5 linked regions of the Nothobranchius furzeri genome follow. The protein of the gene in region 4 interacts with the protein of the main gene of each other region in a pairwise test. Links are inferred from orthologs where the notes say so. Each region holds a gene or a part of one and is shown on either strand. Other genes may lie near its edges.

Evidence for each region. The genes of interacting proteins can lie anywhere in the genome.
Region 1: the proteins of ccndbp1 (region 4) and syf2 interact in binary tests that used the Homo sapiens proteins (3 or more experiments, as listed by UniProt). The link is inferred for Nothobranchius furzeri from reciprocal best matches to the Homo sapiens genes CCNDBP1 and SYF2.
Region 2: the proteins of ccndbp1 (region 4) and imp3 interact in binary tests that used the Homo sapiens proteins (3 or more experiments, as listed by UniProt). The two-hybrid records come from large-scale screens. The link is inferred for Nothobranchius furzeri from reciprocal best matches to the Homo sapiens genes CCNDBP1 and IMP3.
Region 3: the proteins of ccndbp1 (region 4) and zgpat interact in binary tests that used the Homo sapiens proteins (3 or more experiments, as listed by UniProt). The two-hybrid records come from large-scale screens. The link is inferred for Nothobranchius furzeri from reciprocal best matches to the Homo sapiens genes CCNDBP1 and ZGPAT.
Region 5: the proteins of ccndbp1 (region 4) and mrpl15 interact in binary tests that used the Homo sapiens proteins (3 or more experiments, as listed by UniProt). The two-hybrid records come from large-scale screens. The link is inferred for Nothobranchius furzeri from reciprocal best matches to the Homo sapiens genes CCNDBP1 and MRPL15.

The regions. Positions count from the first base shown.
Region 1 is NC_091758.1:35,523,602-35,528,658, forward strand, and holds the start of syf2 (pre-mRNA-splicing factor syf2), read right to left. Parts: upstream 3,435-5,057; 5' UTR 3,387-3,434; coding exon 3,369-3,386; intron 3,103-3,368; coding exon 3,004-3,102; intron 2,816-3,003; coding exon 2,690-2,815; intron 2,336-2,689; coding exon 2,218-2,335; intron 1-2,217. UniProt on the Homo sapiens protein: Involved in pre-mRNA splicing as component of the spliceosome.
Region 2 is NC_091751.1:70,486,856-70,491,606, reverse strand, and holds the start of imp3 (U3 small nucleolar ribonucleoprotein protein IMP3), read left to right. Parts: upstream 1-1,317; 5' UTR 1,318-1,539; coding exon 1,540-1,676; intron 1,677-4,066; coding exon 4,067-4,174; intron 4,175-4,751. UniProt on the Homo sapiens protein: Component of the 60-80S U3 small nucleolar ribonucleoprotein (U3 snoRNP). Required for the early cleavages during pre-18S ribosomal RNA processing. Part of the small subunit (SSU) processome, first precursor of the small eukaryotic ribosomal subunit.
Region 3 is NC_091755.1:51,597,845-51,602,717, reverse strand, and holds the start of zgpat (zinc finger CCCH-type with G patch domain-containing protein), read left to right. Parts: upstream 1-1,439; 5' UTR 1,440-1,609; intron 1,610-1,899; 5' UTR 1,900-1,937; coding exon 1,938-2,524; intron 2,525-3,986; coding exon 3,987-4,120; intron 4,121-4,226; coding exon 4,227-4,391; intron 4,392-4,873. UniProt on the Homo sapiens protein: Transcription repressor that specifically binds the 5'-GGAG[GA]A[GA]A-3' consensus sequence. Represses transcription by recruiting the chromatin multiprotein complex NuRD to target promoters.
Region 4 is NC_091743.1:73,304,016-73,309,068, reverse strand, and holds the start of ccndbp1 (cyclin-D1-binding protein 1 homolog), read left to right. Parts: upstream 1-1,914; 5' UTR 1,915-2,008; coding exon 2,009-2,096; intron 2,097-2,766; coding exon 2,767-2,826; intron 2,827-4,366; coding exon 4,367-4,446; intron 4,447-4,887; coding exon 4,888-4,969; intron 4,970-5,053. Other genes in the region: nfs1 (cysteine desulfurase), read right to left, coding at 1-70, 780-885. UniProt on the Homo sapiens protein: May negatively regulate cell cycle progression. May act at least in part via inhibition of the cyclin-D1/CDK4 complex, thereby preventing phosphorylation of RB1 and blocking E2F-dependent transcription.
Region 5 is NC_091747.1:46,193,575-46,197,884, reverse strand, and holds mrpl15 (large ribosomal subunit protein uL15m), read left to right. Parts: upstream 1-1,380; 5' UTR 1,381-1,463; coding exon 1,464-1,568; intron 1,569-1,688; coding exon 1,689-1,846; intron 1,847-2,122; coding exon 2,123-2,288; intron 2,289-2,526; coding exon 2,527-2,650; intron 2,651-2,739; coding exon 2,740-3,077; 3' UTR 3,078-3,176; downstream 3,177-4,310. Other genes in the region: lypla1 (acyl-protein thioesterase 1), read right to left, coding at 37-84, 191-256, 352-383, 520-588.

The DNA of each region.
Region 1 (5,057 bases), on a different chromosome or scaffold from region 4:
CAGCAGAAGTCAGAGTCTGTCTCAGATGGTATTTGTATGCTGTCAAAGGTTGAGTTTAGAAAAACTTCAACACTAAGATCATTCTAAATATGGCAGGTTTTATTCACTTTTTACTGATCCGATCGATTAACCAACCAAATTACTCTGTTCATTTTCTTATTTTCATACAGTAAACCAGTGTTTCTTAATTATTTTCCATCAAGCCCCCGTCAAGGAACATCATTTCTATGTCTATGGGGAGCGTAACATAGTAGATGCTTTTTAATTTCTCTCCCATCAGGAGCGTTTCTGATCAACAGCAAATGCGTTCCACGCTGCTGGTCATGTAAGGTCACAAGATCACCGGAGAGTTGCAAGTTCCCGTCTGTCTGTCCGTCTGTTGGCACCAAAACAAGCAAGCATGCATCTAAAAGCTCTGGTTTATTTTCGGGTTACTTTAACAAAGGAAGTGTCACAGATGACGTTTGTTTCTTCAGTAAGTTAGGTGACTGGAAATCTGCAGGTGTCTTTCATTTTCAAGTTTACCAGATGTGCTGTACTGCCCCAGTGTATTATTTTCTGTCTGTTCTGATCTGACACTCCGTGGCTAATGCTGGCTTTATGCTAACACACCTCCACAGCCATCTTGACTCATTAAAGTCAATCCATTCCATAAAATATGAGCAGGAGACAAAGTTAGTAGCCAGTGATTTCTCCTACATAAAACATTTATATAACTGATGAAAAGAACACGCCATATAATAACCGTTTAGATCATTTCGGAGGGGAAAAACATCAACTTCTGTTGGCAATTTTAGAAATACCAAGAGATGTGCAACTTAAATGATATTGTTTTTGTTTGTAGAAACATAACTTAGCTTTATTAAGATAAAACAAGTGGTGCTCGCTGCAGAACCACAAAGGTGGAGCTGCACCAGAGTCAGCCCCACCCATTCCATCAGAGTCAGTCCAATTCCTTCCAGTTGTCAGACTTAATAGCATTCTGGAACCAAAGAGGGTGTTATAGCTAATATCATCTAAAATGCAAGATTGAGGATGGAGTTGAGAAGTTAATTGAACAGTTTTTGTAAAGCTTCCATATAATTAAAAATCGAACTTTTGGGACTTTTTACCATGTTATATTGTCATTTCCTCATAAGAAACACGCCGAAGCCATTTTTGGCCTCATTCATGCATTTACCCCCCATCTCAGCTCCAATTTGGTCTCCTCCCCCAAAGCGGGTCTGGTCTTGGTTCTCAAATCTGGATATTCTGTGAATTTTCTGAAAAATTATTTCTGAAATAACTTCTACTGAGACACCGCCGGACTTATGTTAAGCATAATTCTGCGCACACGAAGACGCATAAGACCCTGGATGATGGCGCTCAATGGTTAAAGGAATCACGGAAGCGGTGTGATGCGCTCCGTTGCGCGTCTAGACGGTACCGTAGGAGGCGAGCTGCCATGGTTTGCCGCATGCTACAGGAGCGGGCTATCTAGGAGTGCACAGCGTCCCCCGGTCCCCTCCTCCTCCCTGTCCGGAACTCGACCTCACCAGTATGAAGCAGCCACCTTGTCCGTAACAAGTCCAGACCTGTTACTAGGGGCATCGTCCGGTTTAATTACGGAAAACGTTATCCGGATGTTTGTATTCAGACACAAAGGTCTTACGGACAGAGTCCTGAACATTTCTGTTTTTCATGGCCTGTCTGAAGGGGGCTCAACTTGCTCGGTTAGTTTTTACTTGTTTCTCTTTTCTCTCTTATCTTAGTGCTTTTATTTGTTAACTTTTAATTTTATGCTTTGCTTTTATGTGCGTTAAGTGTTTTTAGCTTTACATTTTACTCCTATGCTGTCTTTGTTGCTGTGTTTTAGTCTTTCGCTCTCCTGTACAGCACTTCGGTTAGCTGCCACTCTATTTTTAAATGTGCTTTAGAAATGAACTGGTATGGTATTAGGGTACTGTACATAATCCCCTACAGCACCTGATTATTAAGCAACAGGTCGTGAAACTTCACTACAACATAGAAGTTTATATGTTTCCATTTATTTTTACATTACAAATGTTGGCACTGTAAAGCTCCGTTTTGCTGTCAGTAGTTGCTTATCAGCATTAATTAAAGATGGTCTTAAATAATCAAGATCTCAATTTCAGTCAAAATACAGCAGCCCTAGAACCCATTATTATGAGCCGACTGTATTTTTACATCTTTATATTTTGAACTTGAACCACAAACCTGCAAAACCCTGGTCTGGATTCTTCTTCTTTTTCTTCCTCTCCCATCGTTCAGCCTCATCAGCTGTGACTTCCAGTAGCTTCACTCTGTCATAATCCTTGCCAGAGGCGGCACATTCCTTAAGAAATTTTTAATAACCATCAAAGCATGAAATACCATTCTTATATCTTTTAAATCTTACATTTTATTTAATTAATCTAGGTATTTCACTAATGTTTGTGTATTAAACACACTTTTATGGTACAGATTTCATGACATTATTTTTGATAAGTCAAGGCAGATGCAGAAATAGACCAACTCTGGGATGACCAATCAATGCAGGATAAAGCAACCCAACACAAAAGATTAAATACATTATAAAAGCAATAACAAAAGCTTGACTTTTCAAACAAAAGCTATTCTTTTAGAATGGTTTGATAAAATGATTTAGTGTGGTCAATAAATCAGATGGCAAACAAAAAAATAAAAATACCTTCTTCTTTTCACTCTCAGCAATTTCCCACTCCAGTCGGGCTTTTTTAGCTTCCCAGTTGGCAGGAAGTTTCAGTCTCTTATCCTCCTCCACAACCTCCTGCTGATTCAGCTTTCGTGCTTCGTTCTGCAGTAAAAACGAACAGATAAATAAATATTTACAAGCAGGTTAATCTACTTTACAATGATCTAATCCCGAAATGCTCATATTATTTTCCGAGTTATTATAACACAACAAAATATACAGTCGCTATGTGATCGTTAGGCATGCCATCACTACACACAACACTGTTTATATGTAGAAAAACAACCAACCCGTTTGAAATGTAACTCTCTGAATTTACGAAGTCTCGCTTCTCTCTTCTCGGAAGCCAAAGTTTCGGCCGGTTCTGCTTCAGTAGCCGTGGCGGTTCCCTGTATGAAAGAGCAAATTAACACAATTTACAAGAAATAAAATCTCATTTATGCTATTTTATGACCGACGGTGTTAGTCCGATATGTTGTTTGTTAGCACACATGCTAACGAGGAACAGCTTGTAAAAAAAACAACGAAGTTTATGCAACAGGAATGAAGCTTTGACAATAACTGAAGGAGAAACACGTTTCTAAAAAGGTGTACATCAACGGAGTCGTTATCACCTTAAAATATATCAGCTTTAGTAAATAAGCAAAATACCAACCTCGTCACAGGACGCCATTGTTATTCTGGCCTGAGAAAGCTGAGCGGAAATACGTCATTAGCACCGGATATAGAATCAAAACAAAATAAAAGCTTACAAAAACAAACAAAATTATTTTTCTTGCCTTGAAATATTTTAATATTTTATCCTTAAGGCAAAACACATATTTCCTTTTAATGACGATTTATATGTATTACTATATTTTCTTCATGGTTCATAGCACAAAAGCACAGTCAATGCTCAAAGAGCTGACAAAGCTTTTTTGTGGGAAAATAGTGCAACACACTTAGATCACGGGGTGTTTTCCAGAATTTGCCACCCATTTGTTGGTGGTTCTGTGCTTAAATCAGCAATTAAAGATGTTATTTTTGAGCTGCTCTTTATCTGATTTGAGGACCCAAACACAGAAGGTCAGTTTGTACATTTTTATTAAGTAAATGATTGTCACACAAGAGCAAGTCAAATTACAATTTCCAGGAACCAAAATCCTATCAGAAATGTAGCATTTGACCAAACTGATTGCTATGAAATTGGAAAAACTCTGGAAAATGTTTTGGAATGAAGAAGTAATTTGGTTGTATTCTAACGTTAGGAATACATGTGAAAATGTATGACTAACTTTTGAAGTTTTTAGTTACAGCCTACACCCGTTTTTAGAGGTCCAAATGACATTAGGCAAGCAAACAGTAATCAGTTTAAATCCAAGAAATTGCTCCTGCCAGATGTAATAAAATCCTCCCTAAGTGTTCCTGAGATATTATGTCTTAACAAATGGGAGTGACAGACAAGCTGGAAAACAGCTTTCAGTCTCTGACACAAAGGTATGTAAAGTTTATTCATTTCATTGACATTTAAATGCAACAGAACCAGCAGAAACTTTACTACATTTCATCAAATAACCCTCATAAATCAAGAAAAGACATATCAACACAAATACAGTCAATCCTCAGGTGGTTTTATTCTGCATGACTCAACTGGAGCAGAACTCACATATAAAATATGAATATTCTCTAAGTATGTTCATATCTATAGGAGTTTCTTTGACATTCACCGAGGATTTAACTGCACACGTTTGTCATCAGACCCCAAAATAAAAAAATAAGTTGTGATACCAAAAATAAATTAGCCTTTTTGTGCCATGATTTCAAAAGTCGCTGCCAGGCATTTTGTGTTTTACTGAAACATCTTTGTAAACAATTTCAAACCACCCATCTTGCTTCATTTTGATGTTGAAATGCATTGAAAAGTCTTGCCAAACTGTATTGGAAACTGGAATGACACGCACAGGCAGCAATTATGAATAAGACTGGAGGTTATAAAAGAGATGCATAAAAGGTCAAGCATAAAGTCATCAGTTACCGCACACAGAGTTGGGTCTGACTCTCTTAAACTAATTAGCTATGGTTGTTTTGCTGCAAAGAAACCAAATGTTGAAAACATTTTTTTCCCTTTTGCCCACAAACACACAAGTATCAATCAAGGATTTTGAGGACAGAACTTCCAAAATACGATTTATTTTTTTATCTGATCAGAGGACAAAGGTAAACACTTTCAAGAGCCATCTGAGCATGTTTGACTTGCCAAAATGGATGTGCTCCCCGTTTGATTGCATTATACTAATCGAGCTCCTTCGGAGGATGTAATTAAGTGGAGTTTATAGTCTTAGATTAAAGCATCCTCTAGATCACA
Region 2 (4,751 bases), on a different chromosome or scaffold from region 4:
TTTAGTACAAACTTTACACTATATAATACTGCAACGACTTTGGCCATTTTACCTTTTATATAGCCTATATGTGATTTCCAGCTTAGAGCTTCATCAATCATTACTCCCAGTCATTTGACAGTGTTGTTAAAACATGAAAATATGTTGAAAAAAGTCAGATTAAAGTTCAAAGTGGGTCCAAAGCTAATTTCTATGATTGTTGGAGAACCGTTTCAGCTAAGCTAATGCCTTTTCCAGGAAGCATTTACTCCCACCTCTAACAAACCCTAACCCCAATGCTGCTGCAAAGGTCCAGCTCAAGACGCGGTTCTGAGCATTTACTTCCTCTGCTGCACAACAACAGAAGACAAGTTTGAGATCACTTGAATAAACTTTCCTCAGACGTTCCTGCAGCCTCTAAAGCCTAATTCATGCTTCTCCCTCAGCGTCCCGAGGGAGAGACGCACGGACGGAGATGTTTTGCCCTCAGACTTCTCCGTTTTCTGACCCTGTTTTGTACGTAAGCAAGCTTGATATATGAGACCCCTGGTCTACAGGGCCTTACATGGACAAGCACCATCTTACATTGGTGATCTTCTTAGTCCCTACACCCCCAGCAGGTCCCTGAGGTCCAGTGATCAAAGCCTACTGGTTGTGCAGCACCAGGCTAAAGGTCAAAGGTGACAGATCATCTGCTGCTGTGGCCCCCAGACTCTGGACCTCTCTCCCCCTGCGCCTGAGATCAGTGGACTCAGTGGTCTCCTTCAAAAAGCAGCTGAAGACTCACCTGTTCAGGCTTTTGCGTGACCTTCATCACCACCCTCTCCTTATTCTGCTCTTTATACCCATTACGCCCTTCTCAGTGTTCCAACTAACCATGCTACTCGTTGATATGTGCTACTTTGGGGAAATGCACATGCACAGACCGATCACAGGCTGTTTCCCTAAAGAGACGCGCTACCTCTGGAAGTTTCTGCTTGTTGTAGGTTTACCTGACAGCTTGTAAAATATCATTATACTGTGAAGTAATTTCTCCCATAGTTTACCATCATTCATGACAAACTGTCTTTTTCATAAAAAAATCACGACAAACATTGTAAATTGTTGCTAATAATTATACTACAGTTCTGTATTTTTGAGTAATATTACCTATTTAAAATAAAACGTGCTTAATAAGTGCGTTATTATACTGTAAACAAGAGCAAAACTGTCGTAACATGATGCAGTAGGAATATTCCACGAGGAAGCAGGGATAGTCAGAACACCCTCATGGACGTCCATCTTTCCTATTAATTTTCTCTCTGTTTTCTTACATTTTTAAATCATAATTGTTTTTTTCTAATCTTAAACATGTCTTTAAATAATTTCAATAAATGTTTTTCATATTTTAAATTTCGCTATAAAAGACAGTTTTCTTTCTTTCGTTCACACCGCTTGGTGGCAGTAATGCGCCATCTTGTTGTTTGTCAACCGCCAATAAAAATCCAGAAGAAGCCACAGAAGAACACGTGTTTCCGGTTTGAGTAGCTGCAGTTGGCAAGCCGCTAATAAACAGTAGAAATGGTTCGTAAATTGAAACACCATGAGCAGAAGCTGCTGAAGAAGGTGGACTTTATTAACTGGGAGGTGGACAACAACCTTCACGAGGTCAAGGTGCTGCGGAGGTATCATATCGAGAAGCGGGAGGACTACATGAAGTAAGCTAGCTGCTAAACCTACCTGATATTTATCTTTATATAATTAGATAGTTTAGACAGTGTTCACTCGTTAAATCACAGACTGTATGAAGCTAATTTAACGCTAATGTTCAGAAAGCACGCTGTCCACTGAGGTGGACATGTAATAAATTATTTGTAAATGATTAAATGTTTGTTGAAGTTTGTTTCATTCACACCTAAAGATGAATGAAAAAAATTGTTTAAAAAATCATGGTTGAAGATTTCATAATTCATGCATCAAAGGGTTCCCTTTTTCTGTAAATTTGTGTGCAACAGTGTTGTTAATGATTTGATCTATTTAAAAATACTTATAATTAAAAGAATGAACACGATTTAAACGTTTATTGTGGGTAAATTTGTGTGCAAGATAAAACAGCGTTTTTTAATGATTTTTGATTAAAAAATTCTTTAATTGAAAAGAATAAACATGATTTAAACTCTTTTTGTAAAATTGCGTGCAAGATAAAACTGCGTTTTTTTATTTATTTAAAAATACTTTTAATTAAAAGAATAAACACAATTTAAACATCCCTTCTTTTTTTTTGTAAAATTGTTGGCAAGGTAAAACCCATCAAGTACTATGTCCTCCCCAATGTTCATAAAGATCTGATGTGGTATTTCAAAATAAAGTGCAATCAAAGTTGACTATAAAGACAATTTTCCCCATATTCAATGGTTTCTTTCTCTAAAAACAGTTTGATTGCGCTACATCATTCCACTTCAGTATTACAGTACACATTGAGTACTACATCCTCCCCGACTTTCATAAAGATGTGATGTGGCATTTCGAAATAAAGTGCAATCAAATTTGTCAATGACAATTTTCACTATATATATATATATATATAAATGTCACATCAGAATTAACGATGTACCCAAACAAGTTCATTTAACGATCATTCCTGAACTTGTTCCTTGTTTTATTTTTGAGTGTAAACCAAACTCACGAATTTTGCCTGGGGGGGGGGGGGGGGGGTGTTTACGGTTAACCATGCATTGACTCATTTGCTGTGTCTGGTTTTCTCCACACTTAGAATTACGGCCGTACATCAGCACCTCACCTAACACACTATTGTAGGCGTGTTTTGTCGGAGCGGGCGTGGGCAGAGCTTTGCCAAAAATTAACCATTTCATTTCCGGGTGTAAATTCAGGGTGACGAAAATGACTCGTTTATAAGATAAATGACATCTCAGCAGTACAGCATCCATACAGCACAATGTCTCAATCCAGAATGACTTCCTATCTCTGGCTCCTTCAAAGGCAGTTGGAAATCTGGGTGTTGTGATTGATGAACACCTGACCTTTAAAGATCACGTTGCCTCTGTTGCTCGTTCATGCCGCTTTGCGCTGTATAACATACGAAAGATCAGACCATACCTAACATAACATGCCACCCAGCTCCTGGTGCAATCTACTGTCATCTCCCGCCTCGATTACTGCAACGCCCTTCTAACTGGTCTTCCAGCCTGGACTGTCAGACCTGTTCAGATGGTCCAGAACGCAGCGGCGCGTCTGGTCTTCAATCAGCCAAAAAGAGCACACGTCACCCCTCTGTTCATTGAGCTCCACTGGCTACCGCTAGCAGCACGCATCAAATTCAAATTGCTAACACTAGCATACAAAGTCCGAGACGGTACGGCTCCCATCTACCTGAATCCTCTTGCAAAGGCTTACGTCTCGGCCCGGCCGCTCCGGTCATCACAGGATGGTCGGCTAGCAGTGCCTACACCACGCTCAGGACAATCCAGACTCTTCTCATGCATCGTTCCACAAATGTGGAATGACCTACCAAGCACTACCAGAACAGGGGCTTCCTTTTCAATTTTCAAGAAACTCCTGAAGACCCTGCTCTTCAGAGAGCATCTTCTAAACTAGCACCCTCCCTGCACCCGTCCCCCCCTCTCTACTGTCCACTCCTTGTTCCCTCCTCTCCATGACTGATGTCAAGTTGTTGTTGTTGTTGTTAGCCTCAAGGGCAACATGCCGATTATCACTTGTAAGTCGCGTTGGACAAAAGCGTCTGCTAAATACATAAACATAGTACTAATGGTAGTATATTATGATGTACTGTGTCTACCTTTGCTCTCAGTGGTTTAAAATAGCAGGATATGGAACCTTTATGGGCTTCAATAACCGGTTAAAAATGTTTTGGGAAACGTGCGTCCCTATTATGTCTGTTTTTCCTGATCTTTTTAATTTGATGCTGGATGCTTAAATGAAGTTAAATAGAAACGTTTAGCTAACCGAGTGCTAAACTTGGCATGGGCACAACCTGCAGCAGCAGCCTGGAGTGGTGGTGTTTACGGCAGCGCTACCCTGGCTGAACATTTCTGCTAGAGGAGCTTTAAACCCTATTTATTTTGCTCAGGTACAACAAGCTGAGTCGCAGCATCAGAAATCTGGCTCAGAAGATTCGAGACCTGGATGAGAAGGATGGCTTCAGAGCTCAGAGTACGCACCACCTGTTAGAAAAGCTGTAAGTTGCTCCTGTCGTGCTCACACAGAAACCAGTCTGTAACTCTAACATGGCCGCGCGTGTTTGTACCCGTTTACCTCGAACGCAGCTTTAGCTCCACCCACTGATGGTTTATGCTGGTGAAGGTTCTCACTCGGTCTTACAGGTCATGGTGATCCAAAAGGCAGCTGGACCTCTTAGGTTTCTTGGAGTCGTTTCACTTCTCGTCTGAGGAGCTTTGTCAATTCTAACTGGAATATAGGAGAGCTGTTGCTGTCTGTTGTTTTTAACGAGCAGAAACTACTCTGAGTACCCTACCTCTCTACCCCTGAGTTGTTGGCCTCTGTTGAGAGGGAGTCGTGTGGATTAGATGCAGGAAGGTGTGACCTAGACTGAAACTGCTTATGAATGAAATCAGGGCTGAAACGATTCCTCGAGTACCTCAAATAATTCCAGTACAAAAAATCCTCGAGTCAAATTCTCTGCCTCGAGGCTTCGTTTCCTTCATATTTAATTAATTCATGGCTTTGCAGTCGCCCGGGGTCATGTTTCACCTCTCTCTCTTTCTTAACATTTTGTAATCACAATTGCCTATTTT
Region 3 (4,873 bases), on a different chromosome or scaffold from region 4:
TGTGGAGGGCATCCGTTTTGGTGGCCTGAGGATCAGGTCTCTGCTTTTTGAAGATGATGTGGTCCTGTTGGCTTCATCAGAATGTGATCTTCAGCTTTCGCTGGAGCAGTTCGCAGCCTAGTGTGAAGCAGCTGGGATGAGAATCAGCTCCTCTAAATCTGAGACCATGGTCTTGATTCGGAAAAGGGTAGAATGCCTTCTCCGGGTCAGGGACGAGGTCCTGCCCCAAGTGGAAGTATCTCGGGGTCTTGTTCATGAGTGAGGGAAAACTGGAGCGTGAGATCGATAGGCGGATTGGTGCTGCATCTGCAGTGATGCGGGCGTTGTACCGGTCTGTCGTGGTGAAGAGAGAGCCGAGTCAGAAAGCAAAGCTCTCGATTTACCGGTCAATCTACGTTCCTACCCTCAACTATGGTCGTGAGCTTTGGGTAGTGACCGATAAAACGAGATCGCGGATCCAAGCGGCCGAAATGAGTTTTCTCAGAAAAGTGGCTGGGCTCTCCCTTAGAGATAGGGTGAGAAGATCAGTCATTCGGGAGGAGCTCGGAGTAGAGCCGCTGCTCTTCCACATTGAGAGGAGCCAGTTGAGGTGGCTCAGTCATCTGGTCAGGATGCCTCCTGGACATCTCCCTGGTGAGGTTTTCCGGGCACGTCCAACCGGGAGGAGACCTAAAGGTAGACCCAGGACACGGTGGAGGGACTATGGCTCTCACCTGGCCAGGGAACACCTTGGGATTCCCCTCGGAGGAGCTGGCCCAAGTGGCTGGGGAGAGGGAAGTCTGGGCCTCTTGCCTTAGGCTACTGCCCCTGCGACCCAACTCTGGATAAGCGGATGAAAATAGATGGATGGATGGATGGATATATGCAGCTGAAACAGGCCCAGTGTATCTCAAATTTGTCAATTTTTGACATTTTATATTAAATACCATCATTATGGTCAGTAATGGCCTGTTTTATAAAAGGTGTGGTAATGTGCGCGTCTTTGTTGTCCTTAATGGCATTTTTTTTAACTTACATTACGTGTTCACTTTATACTTTAAGCTGTTTTGCAACCAGTGCTTTTACTTGAGTAAAATGCTTGAAGTGAGACTTCTGCATTTCTGACCCCCTCTCCATTTTCAAATCTAAACTCTCCAAGACAGCATACTATTTATGAGTTAGTTTTATTGTTTTGCTTTCTGACTTTTGGCTCTGTAATTTCTGGGGATTTAATGAGTGATTTGTTTAGCTTGTTTTTAACTTGATTTCTATTATTTTTGTTGTAAAGTGACCTTGAGTTCCTTGAAAGATGCTTTAGATAAAACGTAATTCTTGTTAAACCCTATTATCTATTCTTCATTAGTAACGAATGTGATTGTTTTTGACACCTCTGATGAATGTAGAAACTATTTTAACCTTGCTGACTGACCACAGTTGTTTCTACTTTATTTTGAAAGGAAAACATTTTTACCGGAAGTGCTCTTGTTGTTCGCGTTTGCCGCTTTGACGTCATTCTGCTGTGTTTTGTGTCAACTTGCTTCTTTTTTGACATGAATAAAACAAGGATTTCCGCAGACGTGACCTCGTTTATTGCTGCAGTGGATGTCAGAGAGCTCGAGTAATCACTGAGGTAATGACACGACCTTTATATTCACCAGAGTTTATGGAAACACGGCTAGCAGCTAAAACAACCCATGCTAGCAGGATGGATGGGGAGGTTACTATGAAGAGCCTCATTCATTTAAATATAAATATATGCTTCACACAGAGAAAACGTCTGAAATTCTTGTTCTTTCTGTGTAATCCATCAAATATCTGGAAGTGTAGTCTTTGATCTGTTTGTACTATTAATGTATAAACATGTAATGACACTGTAGTTCCTCTGCACCTTTTGTTCATCTTCTTCATCTCTTGTTGGAGGCGGTTGATGCTGTCCCAGCTCGTGCCAAGCTGTCAGCATGGATGAAGAAAGCCTGGAGGCTGCCATCGCTGCCTATGGGGCCCAGCTGCAGCAGGTGGAGATGGCCCTGTCAGCTGGCCTGGACCCCAGCCAGCAGCCAGACCTGCTCAAGCTCAAAGAAGACCTCTGCCAGCTGATAGCGCTAACAGAAGCCAGCCTTTTATCTGTACAGAAAAGCCGGCTACTGTCCAGCCTAGAAGACAGCAACGGACCTCAGATGAACACCTCAGAGGCAGCGGCTGATTCCGGTGTCTTTGATGCTGAATTTGCTGCGTTTTACTCTGAACTAGGAGAAAGTTCTGGCAGCAGCTCTGATACCAGAGAGAAGGATAAGGACAGTGGGAGCGTGTATTATGAGGAGGAAGATGAGGAGGAAGATGATCTTAGTGGTACCAAAGTAAGGGCGCCTTACAGGACAACATGGGGGACGCTGGAGTATCACAATGCCATGGTGGTGGGGGCAGAACCGGCTGCTGATGGAGAGGAGGCACAAGTCAGGGTGCTCTACATCTACCCCACCCAAAAATCTATGAAGCCCTGTCCGTTCTACCTGGAAGACAAATGTCGCTTTCTGGATAACTGCAGGTAAAATCAAATCAAAGATGCTTTATTAATCCCAGAGGGAAATTAGAGTTTCAGTACACACAATTCAGAGATCAGACATACACGGGCAAGAGACATGACAAGAATTGGTGACTGTGGTCATTCGCAACCCTGAGTTAACAGAGATAAGAGGGTTACATGAGGATTGGTTCAGGTGGAGGAAAAAAAAGGCACTTCAGAGCTGCCCTCAAACATATATGCAACAGACTTCAGACAACACAACATAAGTGTCCACTAGGTGGGGTGGTGGGTTGGGACTATCTCCACTTCATTTCCTGCAGCCACGATAAGCAGCGCATGTCACCTCAGTGTGGATGGGGGGGGGGGGGGGGTGGGGGGGAAGCATTGAGGGTTGGAGGGTTGGAGGGTTGCAGTGACCCTGGAACGTTTCAGCGGCCTTCCCGCTGTCCCGCCCAGGCTGGGATAGGAGACAGAGTAGAGTTGCCATAGCGACGGCACATTCCACATATCTTCTGAGGGGGGGGGGGGAGTTTTCGTGGAGCCTTGCAGGCTCAAGGACACCAGATTCCGATTAGAAATTGTTTTGGGGCCAGACAGAGATAATTTCCTCTCTGTCTTACAATTTGTTGGTCCTCAACCTCTCAGAATCCCAATAATGGACGTTAATCTATCCCAATCCGTGCTGATTCGTCCACTCTCTCCTTGATGGCATCCATCTTTTGTGCCAAAGAATGAATCTCCGCCAAAGTCCCAAGCTTACGATTCATCTCGACAATTATTTGAGTCTGAATTCACTGCGGTGCAAACCATCTCTGAGCTCCGGGATCAGGCCAATATTCCTCGACAGCTCGTTAATTTTCCGGTAAGCCAAGTAGCCTCCAAGGCCAATGAGCAGGAAACCTGACACCAACACCACGAATATCCACACGTCTTCAGAGTCCTCCACAGACAGCTGGTCTGTCCCGGAGGGGCATCCGGGAGTCCCTTCTCCCGTTCTCGTCGTTGAAAAAATTGTATCAACCGCGTTGAGAGACCAGCTGACGAGATCCATTTTAGTGAATTTCAGTTTCCAGAAAATAATGCAGAAGCAGCCGTGCACCCAGCACACGCGGACAGACAAAGGCTTTGAGGATAAGATACGGAGGAGAGGAGAAGAAAAGCGTCTGCACCCTCCGAGAGCCGGAAGCAGAAACCAAACATCTGTTGCTTTTTTATTATTTGTGTTTTGTCACATTAATGTAAAGGACATTCACACACAAGTTTAGAAAATAATGTTCAATGTGTGTATTTTTTAAAATCTTCTCATCATTTTAGCATCTTTTATTTAGAAAAAAAATCTTCTGCACCTTTACATTTGTTGTTATTCTTTTGTTTTACCCGGATAAAACCGAATCGCTCCGAATGGGATTTTATTATCAGTCAGAGGAAAGTTGTGATAAATAACTGAATGGTTTTCTTACAGAAACTCGTCTCACTTTTGCAGGTTTTCTCACGGTGAAGTGGTGTTTGTGTCGGAGCTCAGAGACTTCTTGGAGTGCGACCTTGGTAACCTCGAAGAGGGTTCGTCCTGCTTGGCTCGGCACGAGGATGGTATCTGGTACCCCGCCAAAATAAAAGGTCTCTCAATCACATTTTGTTTTAATTTGTTAAATGTCATCTAAATGTAGTTTGATCACAATAATTATACATTTGAAATTATTATTTCCGTTTTCTCTCATCTTAGAACTTGACAGTGGTTTCTATACCGTAAAGTTTGACTCACTGCTGCTGAAAGATGCTGTCGTTGAGGCTGATGGCATCATCCCACCTCTCAGAGAGGACGACCCACTCTCCTCAGACTCTGATACTGAAGAACCTGGAGATGGGGAGGCTGTGGGGTATGCTAAAGGTATAAAGACCATTTTAAATAAAAGGAATCTGTATGAAAAAACACACCTCCTTCACTTAAACCAATGTAAAGGTTGTGTTCTTAAATATAGTAATTATGTAATTATATTTTAAAAGACATATTTAATTTGTAAAAAATATAAAAAAATATATACAATAAATATAAATAAACACCTCCTTACATTTTAAGCTTTAAAAATATTTTTTATGTTTTAACATATTTTTAAAAAATATTTAAAATTAAAAAAATATATAAACATTTGTATACATCAATATTTACTTTTTTATCTAAACTGAGTGAAAGGGTGTTTTTAAATGTGAATGTGTGTGTGCATGTGTGTGTGTAGGTGGGTGGATGACTGATTGAGTTGTAAAGTGCATGGGGGGGGGGGGGGGGGGGGGCTCTAGGACTCAAATACAGGCCGTTTACTATTTTACATAAAATCAACATTAAACATTTGAATATGAATACACACCTTGAAT
Region 4 (5,053 bases):
GTGGTGGCCTGGAAGTCCATGTAAAGAGGCCGGAGCTCATCTTTCTCCAGCTCGTGTTTCTTGATCAACTCTGCAGCAAAAAACACAAATGTACACATTATTCTTTCAAGATTATTCTGTACGTATTTGCCGTACACCTACAATTGTTCAACAATTGCCGCAAGTAGGGTATCAAGGTGCTTTGTTTAGTTGGATGAGCCTAACTTCACAGGAATGGTTTCCATAGTAGCCAAGTAGGCAGAGTCAAACAACATTTCTGCAAGAAATGTCTAGATTAATAATAATCTATCCAGATTAATTATGTTTTCCAAATTGTAGTGTATGTTTTCTAAAAAGGAAACTATAAACTCTGGACTTTGATACTTCTCAGCTCATCTGAAATGTTTTCTGTTCCTGTGCTGGACAGCGGAGCGTTATCTGAAGTTAACTAGTCTATTGTTTCTGTAACAGCTTTGCCCATTGTGCTTTTTGTCTTTCATTTGGCTGAATATGATTACAATCAATCTAGCAATAATATCAGTTATTAATAATCAAAACTATTAGTTATTATTTTATATTACTTCAGTTTTAAAGTCATTAAATACTTTATTGATGAGGATGCACTGTCCCAGCTCTAACCCAACACACGCTCCACGTTACTTGATTTGACCTGGACTTAACACACAGTAGGTGTTGTGAAGTTTCTCGTCACCCCAGCAAAGTGCGTCACTTTGGGATTAGCTTAATGCTAGATACTCATAGGAAAACGAAGAGGCCAGTGTGTTCCGTTATGCTGTTACCTTTCTGCTTGGAGCTGGCGACGGACCGCTCACAGCCCAGCCGAAAAGGAAACCAAGAGGCGGGCCTCAGAAGCCTGGAGGACACGGTCCTTCCCGGGGAAAGCATCTCGGCAGGCTGGGTTCGGCGAAGACCTGCTGACCTCCGTCAACACCAACACGTTGGCTGCGACCAAATCAACAAAGCAGTTCAGCCACCTAACCCCAGCGTTAAAAAAAGAGAACACTATTTAGAATTAGTGCTCTAAACGCGAAAATATGTGGTTTCAAACTTACTGTCTGTCACTTTAGACCCAGGTTGCAATTAAATGGATCATCGCAAGTTAAGTTACAAAACAAAGCTAACTTCCGGTAGTGAATTTCAAAATAATTTTAAAACGGTGCTAACTATTTATTGATGGAAAACGTTTAAGCAACTTTATAATTTTACGTTATTTTGATTTGCGTACAGTTCACAATAGCAATTTCACAGATGAACTTTAACCTCGTCTTTTAATCTTTTTTGGATGGTAACTACAGACTTGTCACAAAATTCAACAGGAAACAAGGACGGGACTTTCTGCGGTTTCCCTGCTCTCCCATAGGCCAAACTGGATTTTTTGTTGTGGATTTAAAGCGGGGCTATTGGCAATTTTAGTTTTTTGATTGGCTACAGTCCAAGTTTTATGACCTTTTTGCCATTTTATATGAATGTAATGAACACTGTTTCTTATGTGCATGGGTTTATTAAATACACCCATTAGGTTTCACAAACCACCAACTATATTTCAAGGACTCTGCTATTAATATAGAACAATCTAGTCCAGATTTGAAGAATCTAAGTGTTGTACTTGTTAAGCTACACATGTTCCAATGTAATTCAGATGCAATCTTTGTGCTGAAAACGCACTTTTTAAACATTAAAAAAAATCATTAGTTTTAAGCATCATCGACATAAATATAAGCCTAAGGATTTAAGCCTAATGTTGTCATTTCAGAAAAATCAAGTCCAGGTATGAAGAGTGTTGTAGTTTCATATTTAGTGAAGATTAAATATGCTCAGGGAGTGGAAGAATATATACAGTATCTGTGGTTTTCACTGTAAACAATTTCACCGCATTTTATTCTTCTGCTTCCGGGGGATTGATTGTTTCGCTTATTATATTCCCCGGATCCACGTTCCGGGCTTCTGTAGTTCCACAACACTCGTGTTAGCGCAGCATTGCTAACGCTTTTCCTCAAACTTCGTCGTCATGAGTGCTGATAATATCAACGGGAGTTTGTCCGTACCTTTACGAAATGCTTTGAACTCCATTCAGTGTATCAGAGACCGAGTCAGAGGTAAATTTAAGACACATTTCTTACCTCATTAAAAAAACTCAGTATGCCAGTGTTAGTGCCAAGCTAGCAACAGTCTTTGTTGTTTAATGTGTATAGTTGGCTGCATTTAAAACAACTTAAAACGGAAAACGGTGCAGTCGCCTTTTAAACAGCCCACTAAAGACAAATAAAATGAGAAAGTAACTTTTCAAATGCCAAGCAGGGATACATTGTCACGCGTCATCTAGCCATCCACCGTTATCTTATTGAGCCAGACAGGTTTCGTTGCTACGTAAAAGCCCCTCAAATTCTGCGAAAACCAAACATATAATAAACCTGTAGCTTAAAAAAGCAAGTTGGCCAGCTGAATGATCCTTATGAGAAATTGATGTAGTGGATTCTGTAACGTGTCATTCCCAGTGACTGTAGTAAGAGACCTCATTCCTCAGAAATGTATTGGCAGTAAACCAAACTGAAGGTTATCCTGTATATAATTTCATATATTTCCATTTAAGTGTTTTGTTGTTGTTGTTGTTGTTTGGGCTAGGGTTATACAACGTAAATAAATAACCTTTTTACTTTTACCTCAATGAAACATTTGGTCTGACCTAAAGCAGCTTCCAGATAGAAGCAACATAATCACAAAACACATGTTTAAAAGTGTAATTACAACCTTTGATTTTCTCTGCAGATGGAGAGTCAAATGAATCAGATGGAGATTTCAACCTTTCTAACTTCTGGGACACTTTGAGTTGAGTATATGAGAATTCTCCTCCTGCCACACGTTCAACTCCTTGACTCTTTTTCTTAGGTCCGGGGTGTCAAACTCAAATTCACACTGGGCCAAAATGAAAATCTGGGACGAAGTTGCAAGCCAAACTTAATATTTTTTGAAAAAGTGATGGCAAATTTGCACATTTTCTTTTTCAACATAAATGCAATTTTAAACTTTAAAATTTGGAAACAAACTTATTTTTGCATTAACTCTGAATGTGGAGCAACCAATTTACACATGAGCCAGTCAATTTGAAATGAAACACATCAGTGATTTTCATTACTTGTGGTATATTCAACATTTTTAAAATCTATTAAGGATTTATGTTTTCTTGTTGTTTGTTCATTTTTATTTGTTATTCTCCTTTTTTTCCTCCTGTAATAAGTGTCATCGCTGCTGTGACGTCTAGCTTTCCCCACTGAGGAACAATAAAAGGATTTTCTATTCTATTCATCCATCTGCAGCCTTTCCAGTTCCTGTTTTACTGTAGGTTAAATCTTTTCTCACGGGCCAACAACAACATAAAAGTATAATTTTATCTTAAATGAAATGCAATATCTCACCTGCTAACTTTCATGTTTTGGAGCAGAAAGAGAGCATAAAACCAAAATATGTAAAGCTCAGTTTGGTCCACTGATTTACTGTGATGCTCACCTGTTCCAGCCATCATGGGGTTGAGGAGCTCTGAGCTGAGGAGGAGACTTCATCATAATAATGACAACATTAGATGACAACAGGTGCTCACATAGGTTTGTGCTGCTGAACTTGGAGAGCGTCTGAGCAGCTTGACCACGTTGTTGTGTGTTGGGGAGGAAAAATAAAAACTACAGCAGCCACAGAGTCATGCCGATTTGAGCGTGTCGCTCGCTGGAGTTATATCAGCTCTGTCTGGAAGTTGGTTGGAAAACTTTCTCTTTCAGTCGTGAACACATTACTGAGCGGTTAAAATCTCAGTTTCTGGGCTTCAACGTCGGCAAATGGCTGAGATTAACTTGGCGCTGAGTGAGAGGAGTGTTTAGTTTGTCCGAGACAGCGGAGCTGCAGACACCGGCAGCAGACGCTGGAAGAAACACAAAGGAGGGGGCGCTTCGGCTCTGCTCTAATGCTGCAAAGCATCATGGGAGTTGTAGTCTTTGCGGTAAAATCGACCAGTGGGTCAGTTTTAATACATCTTTGATATTTATCTCACGGGCCACATAAAAATGCTCCGCGGGCCACATCTGGCCCGTGGGCCTTGTGTCTGACATATGTGTCTTAGGCCATTTTCTGTAGCACAAAGCAATTATCTCATTTGTCAATATTAAGGTTTTCAATTTTTTTTACAAAAGATTTTTCATGTTTTTTTTTGTATCAACGATCTTGCACTGTTGAGTACATAATGTGAACGTTACCTATTAAGGCAAGTCTCTTTTGCTCATCAGCTCTATCTGACTTACTATTATTTCTGACATTAGGACACTGTCATCTATACTATATAATCAAAAATTTAATCTATCTAACTGTTGTTTGTAATCAGACCAAGCAGTAAAGGCAGTGTCCCAGGAAGCCACTAAACTCAGCCTAGCCTTCTCCAGACCTCCGCTCCCCTCTTTACAGGTTAGTTTGTTTGTTGTTATAAGTTATTATTCACACAAAACGTAAAGGGACTGTATCATGTTATTTTACACCTTCCAGAACAACTGTCGGCACAGTATATGATAAAATGTTACCATTGGCACGATTAAGTTGTCATCATTTCTGAAATAGAATTTTATTTTTTAAGCCATCCCTTCAACCCAGTAAAAGGGCATTTGGATTTGATGAAGTCCTGTCTCCACCCATAAGAATTCCTCAATGGTACAAGGCTGCAGACCCGGAAACTGCACATTTATGCTGACATGTGCCACTCAGCGATTTCCTATTCACAATCTGTTTATTAAAATGTTTAAAACCTGAGCTAGATGTTCTTTCAAACTTTTCAGTCGTATATGTTTATCTTCCTATCGTTTCTCAGTCCTTCATGATTCAGGCTGTCATGTAAACTTTGTTGTACTGCAGGATGCTGAGAAGTTATCAGAGTCTATCCTGAAGAGCCTCCTGACTCTGTCCACCGTGTATTACTGGCTGCCCAAGAGCTATGGTAACACTCATTAACTACATGATCATTTCTGGGTTTTAATAGTTGACTATGGCTTTGTTTTCAAATTAGAAAATCAATTTTCAT
Region 5 (4,310 bases), on a different chromosome or scaffold from region 4:
GTCATCGGAAATGTGTGTTTAAACTGCATCACCCACCAAGAAGGCATGGACATCCTCATGTTCAAAGAGACGGGCATCGTGGGGCTGTGGATAAGGGACATTGTAACAGCAAGCTGCATAAATCTTGACTCAGGCTTTGAAATCAGACTTTTCTCATCAAATACTTGCGTTGTGAACCTTAAATACTTACGCATGAGGACAGATGTATTTCACATGTGGTATTCTGATGCCTGCAAAAGCCTCTGCCCAGCCATGCCTGTCAGGTTTCACCCAAAACAACCAGTATAAAACGGCTAATTAAACAGACAAAGCAGTGTGAATGCAAAAAAATGACTTAATTACTTTACTCACCCCGTATCTCCAAGGCCATGCAGAAATATGACCTATAAATAACAATAACACTTATTTTCACTGACAGAGGTTCACACATATCACATTTCGACAGCTTCTGATTTCTAGCAGTTCCATGCTAATGTTTGGGATTTGATCTAAAAAGCACTAAATGAGCTGACAGCTCACCGCTGCAGTGGCTTTTCGGGCAGCAGGCACAATGGTAGGTAAAGGAGCTGACATGTTGTTGCCGCACATACAGCGCTGAGGCAGCTGGACAAGTTAGCTAACAAGTTAGCTCTTCGTAGCTAACAGCAATATAACACAAAAGTGAAGGCCTCCAGATACACAGCAACTGAAGAACGAGCTCCGTCAGACGATGGAGGTCAACGCTTCACCGTCTCTTGTCCTGTCCTTTCTGGGAGTTTAGTTTAGACAGAAATTAGTCGTGGCACTGACTGACAGAAGCTGCTAGCAGCACACCATGCCAGCTGCTGTGACAGGATTTGTAGCCCCGCCCTTTGATTTAAGTGATTGGTTCTCAAAAGCACCCCAATTAACTGCCGATCAGCCACTGGTCCGCTTAAATGTCAGTTTGAGGTTCGCACATAAACTATAACATGCTGTTATTGTTGTTGTTTTCTGTATTGCTGATAATTGTTTTATTGTATATTTAATAATTTTATTTTGTTTTATTAGCAATAAAATATAATAAATTCAAAGAAAATACGGAAAAAATATTGTTAAATAGTATTTATAAATAGTTTTTAAAAGTGGAATGTTTTAGCATATTTTAAAATAATCAATAATAATTTTTCTTCCAATCTCATTGATTGGTCTTTCTTGTGATTTGTCGTCATCTAGTGGCAACATTACAATACGGCAGCAACTTTTTCATGAGACCTTGTACATTTTTTTTAGCTAGTGTTGCTCAGAAATGAAGTAAACGGTCATTTAAAATTGCTATATTTCATATATTGAAATGCATACAAACTTCACTTTTTTCCAGACATTCCAAGTATCGTGCCTTTATTTTGAAACATCACTCCACCGTGAAATAGCTTCCGGTGTGGTGGAGTCACGTGATTAGTTTGCCCTTGGTTTGCTAACTTTAACATGTGAGCTGCAGAAACATGTCTGTTACTAAGAAAACCGGCAGTAAAGCTTTGGATGTTTTACAGAATTTGCCGCGGATCACTTTAGCAAACCTACGACCTGAGCCAGGATCCTGGAAGTGGGTACGTTTGATCCGGTCTCGTGGGCTACATTAGCACTGATGCTAACATGACTAGCATCTGAATAGAGATGGAGGTTAGTAAACGTGATAAATAACCTTATGTGGTTTAAATGGTCTGCAGGGGAGACGACGAGGTAGAGGACAGCACGGCGGTAACAGGAGCGGCCGAGGTCACAAAGGAGAGCGGCAGAGGGGGAACAGACCCCGGCTGGGCTTCGAGGGAGGGCAGACCCCCTTCTATCTGGTTATACCAAAATATGGTTTCAACGAAGGACACAGGTGCAAACTCGTCACCGTGGTTTACATCTGTCACACATCAGTAGATCAGGAAGTTATCATTTAAAAATCTAAAGATCACAAAGCAGTACGTTTATTAGGCAGCAGAACTCATAAATAGCTTAATTCTGGGCTAATTTTTGATATTTCTGTGTAACCCACCAGCTTATAAAACTGTTCTATCACCCTTAAAGCATTTTTGCACTACACAGAAAATACATCACAAACAGGATAGGGAGTTAAGTCATGTTATTTTTCTGTTTTATTTGTTCTTCCTAGCCGGCGTCCACAGTACATGCCCCTGACCCTGAAACGACTCCAGTACCTGATTGATCTGGGCCGAGTGGACCCGGCTCAGCCCATAGATCTGACCCAGCTGGTCAATGCCAGAGGAGTGACCATCCAACCTCTGAAGAGGCACTACGGAGTCCAGCTGGTGGATGAGGTAAACTTCAGCTCAGCCTGCTAGGATGGAGGTCAAAAGCATCAAAATAACACAATTATTCATTCAGAGGGGAGAAAATGTGTATAGTGTTATGGATGTGTGATGTTTTCTAAATTAACACCAATAATAACTCTGACCAGCAGGTGACACCACATGACAGTTTTGTCATTAAACTGCTGCTTCCTTTTCCCTGATTTTTCACTCTCCCATTTTAACTAGAATGCATTTTATTTTTCAGGGAGCTGACATATTTGCAGCCAAAATCAACATTGAGGTTCAGAGAGCAACTGAAGGAGCCATAGCTGCTATCGAGAAGAACGGAGGCGTCATCACCACCAGTTTCTACGATCCCATAAGTCTCGGTAGCTAATGGGTTTTTATGAAACCGTAATACGTGAGTTTTATTTGAAGATTGTTGATGAAAGGGTTGAGGATCTGCTCTTTTCCTCAGGGATCCTGATCAAGCCCGTCCCGTTCTTCGTGAGGGGCCAGCCAATCCCAAAGCGGATGCTGCCAGGAGAGGACATGGTCCCGTACTACACGAGTGCTGAAAACCGGGGTTACTTAGCAGATCTGGAAGACATCCAGCAGGCCCGGCGTGCCCTGGCACAGAAGTACGGCTATGCGCTGCCAGATATTTCAAAGGATGAACTTTGTGACATGCTTGCCACAAGGAAGGATGTTCGACAGATCTTCTTTGGCCTCTCTCCAGGCTGGGTCGTTAACATGCCGGAGAAGAAGATTCTGAAACCGACAGATGAGAAACTTTTGAAATATTACAGTTCGTAGGTGTTGGAGGCGATCTGTGGCCAACAAAATCAGAAAAACACAGTTTTTTTTCATAAATATGACAATTATTAGTATTATGATTAAAGTTCATTGGAAGTATTCAGGTTGTTACCACTTACATATATGCAGCAGGTTTTTTTCTTTACAAGTGAGTATTGTACGGTCTCGTGTCGGAGCACAAGCTGCATGATGGAAGGAACGTGAACTGGAACAGGTGAGAGGGAAATAAGGAAAATAAGATAACTCAAAGAATGAAAACAGGAAACAGGTGCCTGGCGATGTGTGTAACCCGTGAAATGGGTTGCATAGGCTGTAGGGGGGAATTAGAAATTAGTCATAGGCAGCTGTATCCTGGTGTGGGGGGGTCAAAAGATTCATATCCCCTCCTCACAACCCCCCCTCCCCCACCCTTGGTGGAGGGCAAACCCCATCAAGTCATTTATGAAATCAGCAGATTTTCTTTAATGTTTACAACCTGAAGAAAATTCCATTTTCTTCATTAAATTCATTTTTTTAGATTTAAATGTCAAAATTATAAACAACTCAGATTTTATCTTTAGAGTTGCTGCTGTTGGATTTAAGCTTTTTTTAAACAACAAAGCCAGATTTAAGATAAATATTCCACTTTAAATGTCAAAGGTTTGACTTAATGTGAGTGTTTTCCTGAATCTACGATCAAGGACACACACACACATCCTCACACACATATACGTAGCCCAGCCAGGAAAAACCAGCCCAAATTCTTACAGCATAACACTTTAAATAAATCACACCACAGGAAAGAAACAGCACAATCATTGTTTATTGCAGACCTGCAGCGCTTATCTTCAAAGCAGCAGATCCTTTAGAGTTCTCATCAGAGAGAGAAGGGCCGATCGAGGTGCACACATAAATCCTTTTTAGTGGATTGTAATTAAAAAAGAATTAATTCCCTTATTTGTAGTTTATGCCCCAAATAATCTAATAAGTAGTGATTTTGCTGCCTAAAATAGTCGGTTTGGAGCCATTGCTGCAGTCTCAGACAAGCTTTAGTTAATAAGTAGTGTTAATTACAGCTGGGTGAGGGATCAAACTGGCTCTCTGTGGACTTCACAAACATTCCCAACGAGGCGACAAGACTCGGAGGTGTGGACAATAAAACACTCGAAGGATCTCCTTACTTGAGCAGATAAAGAAACTTATCAGGGCAGAATACAATTCCTAATTTGCACAGAATTGGGCTGCTTTAAAGGC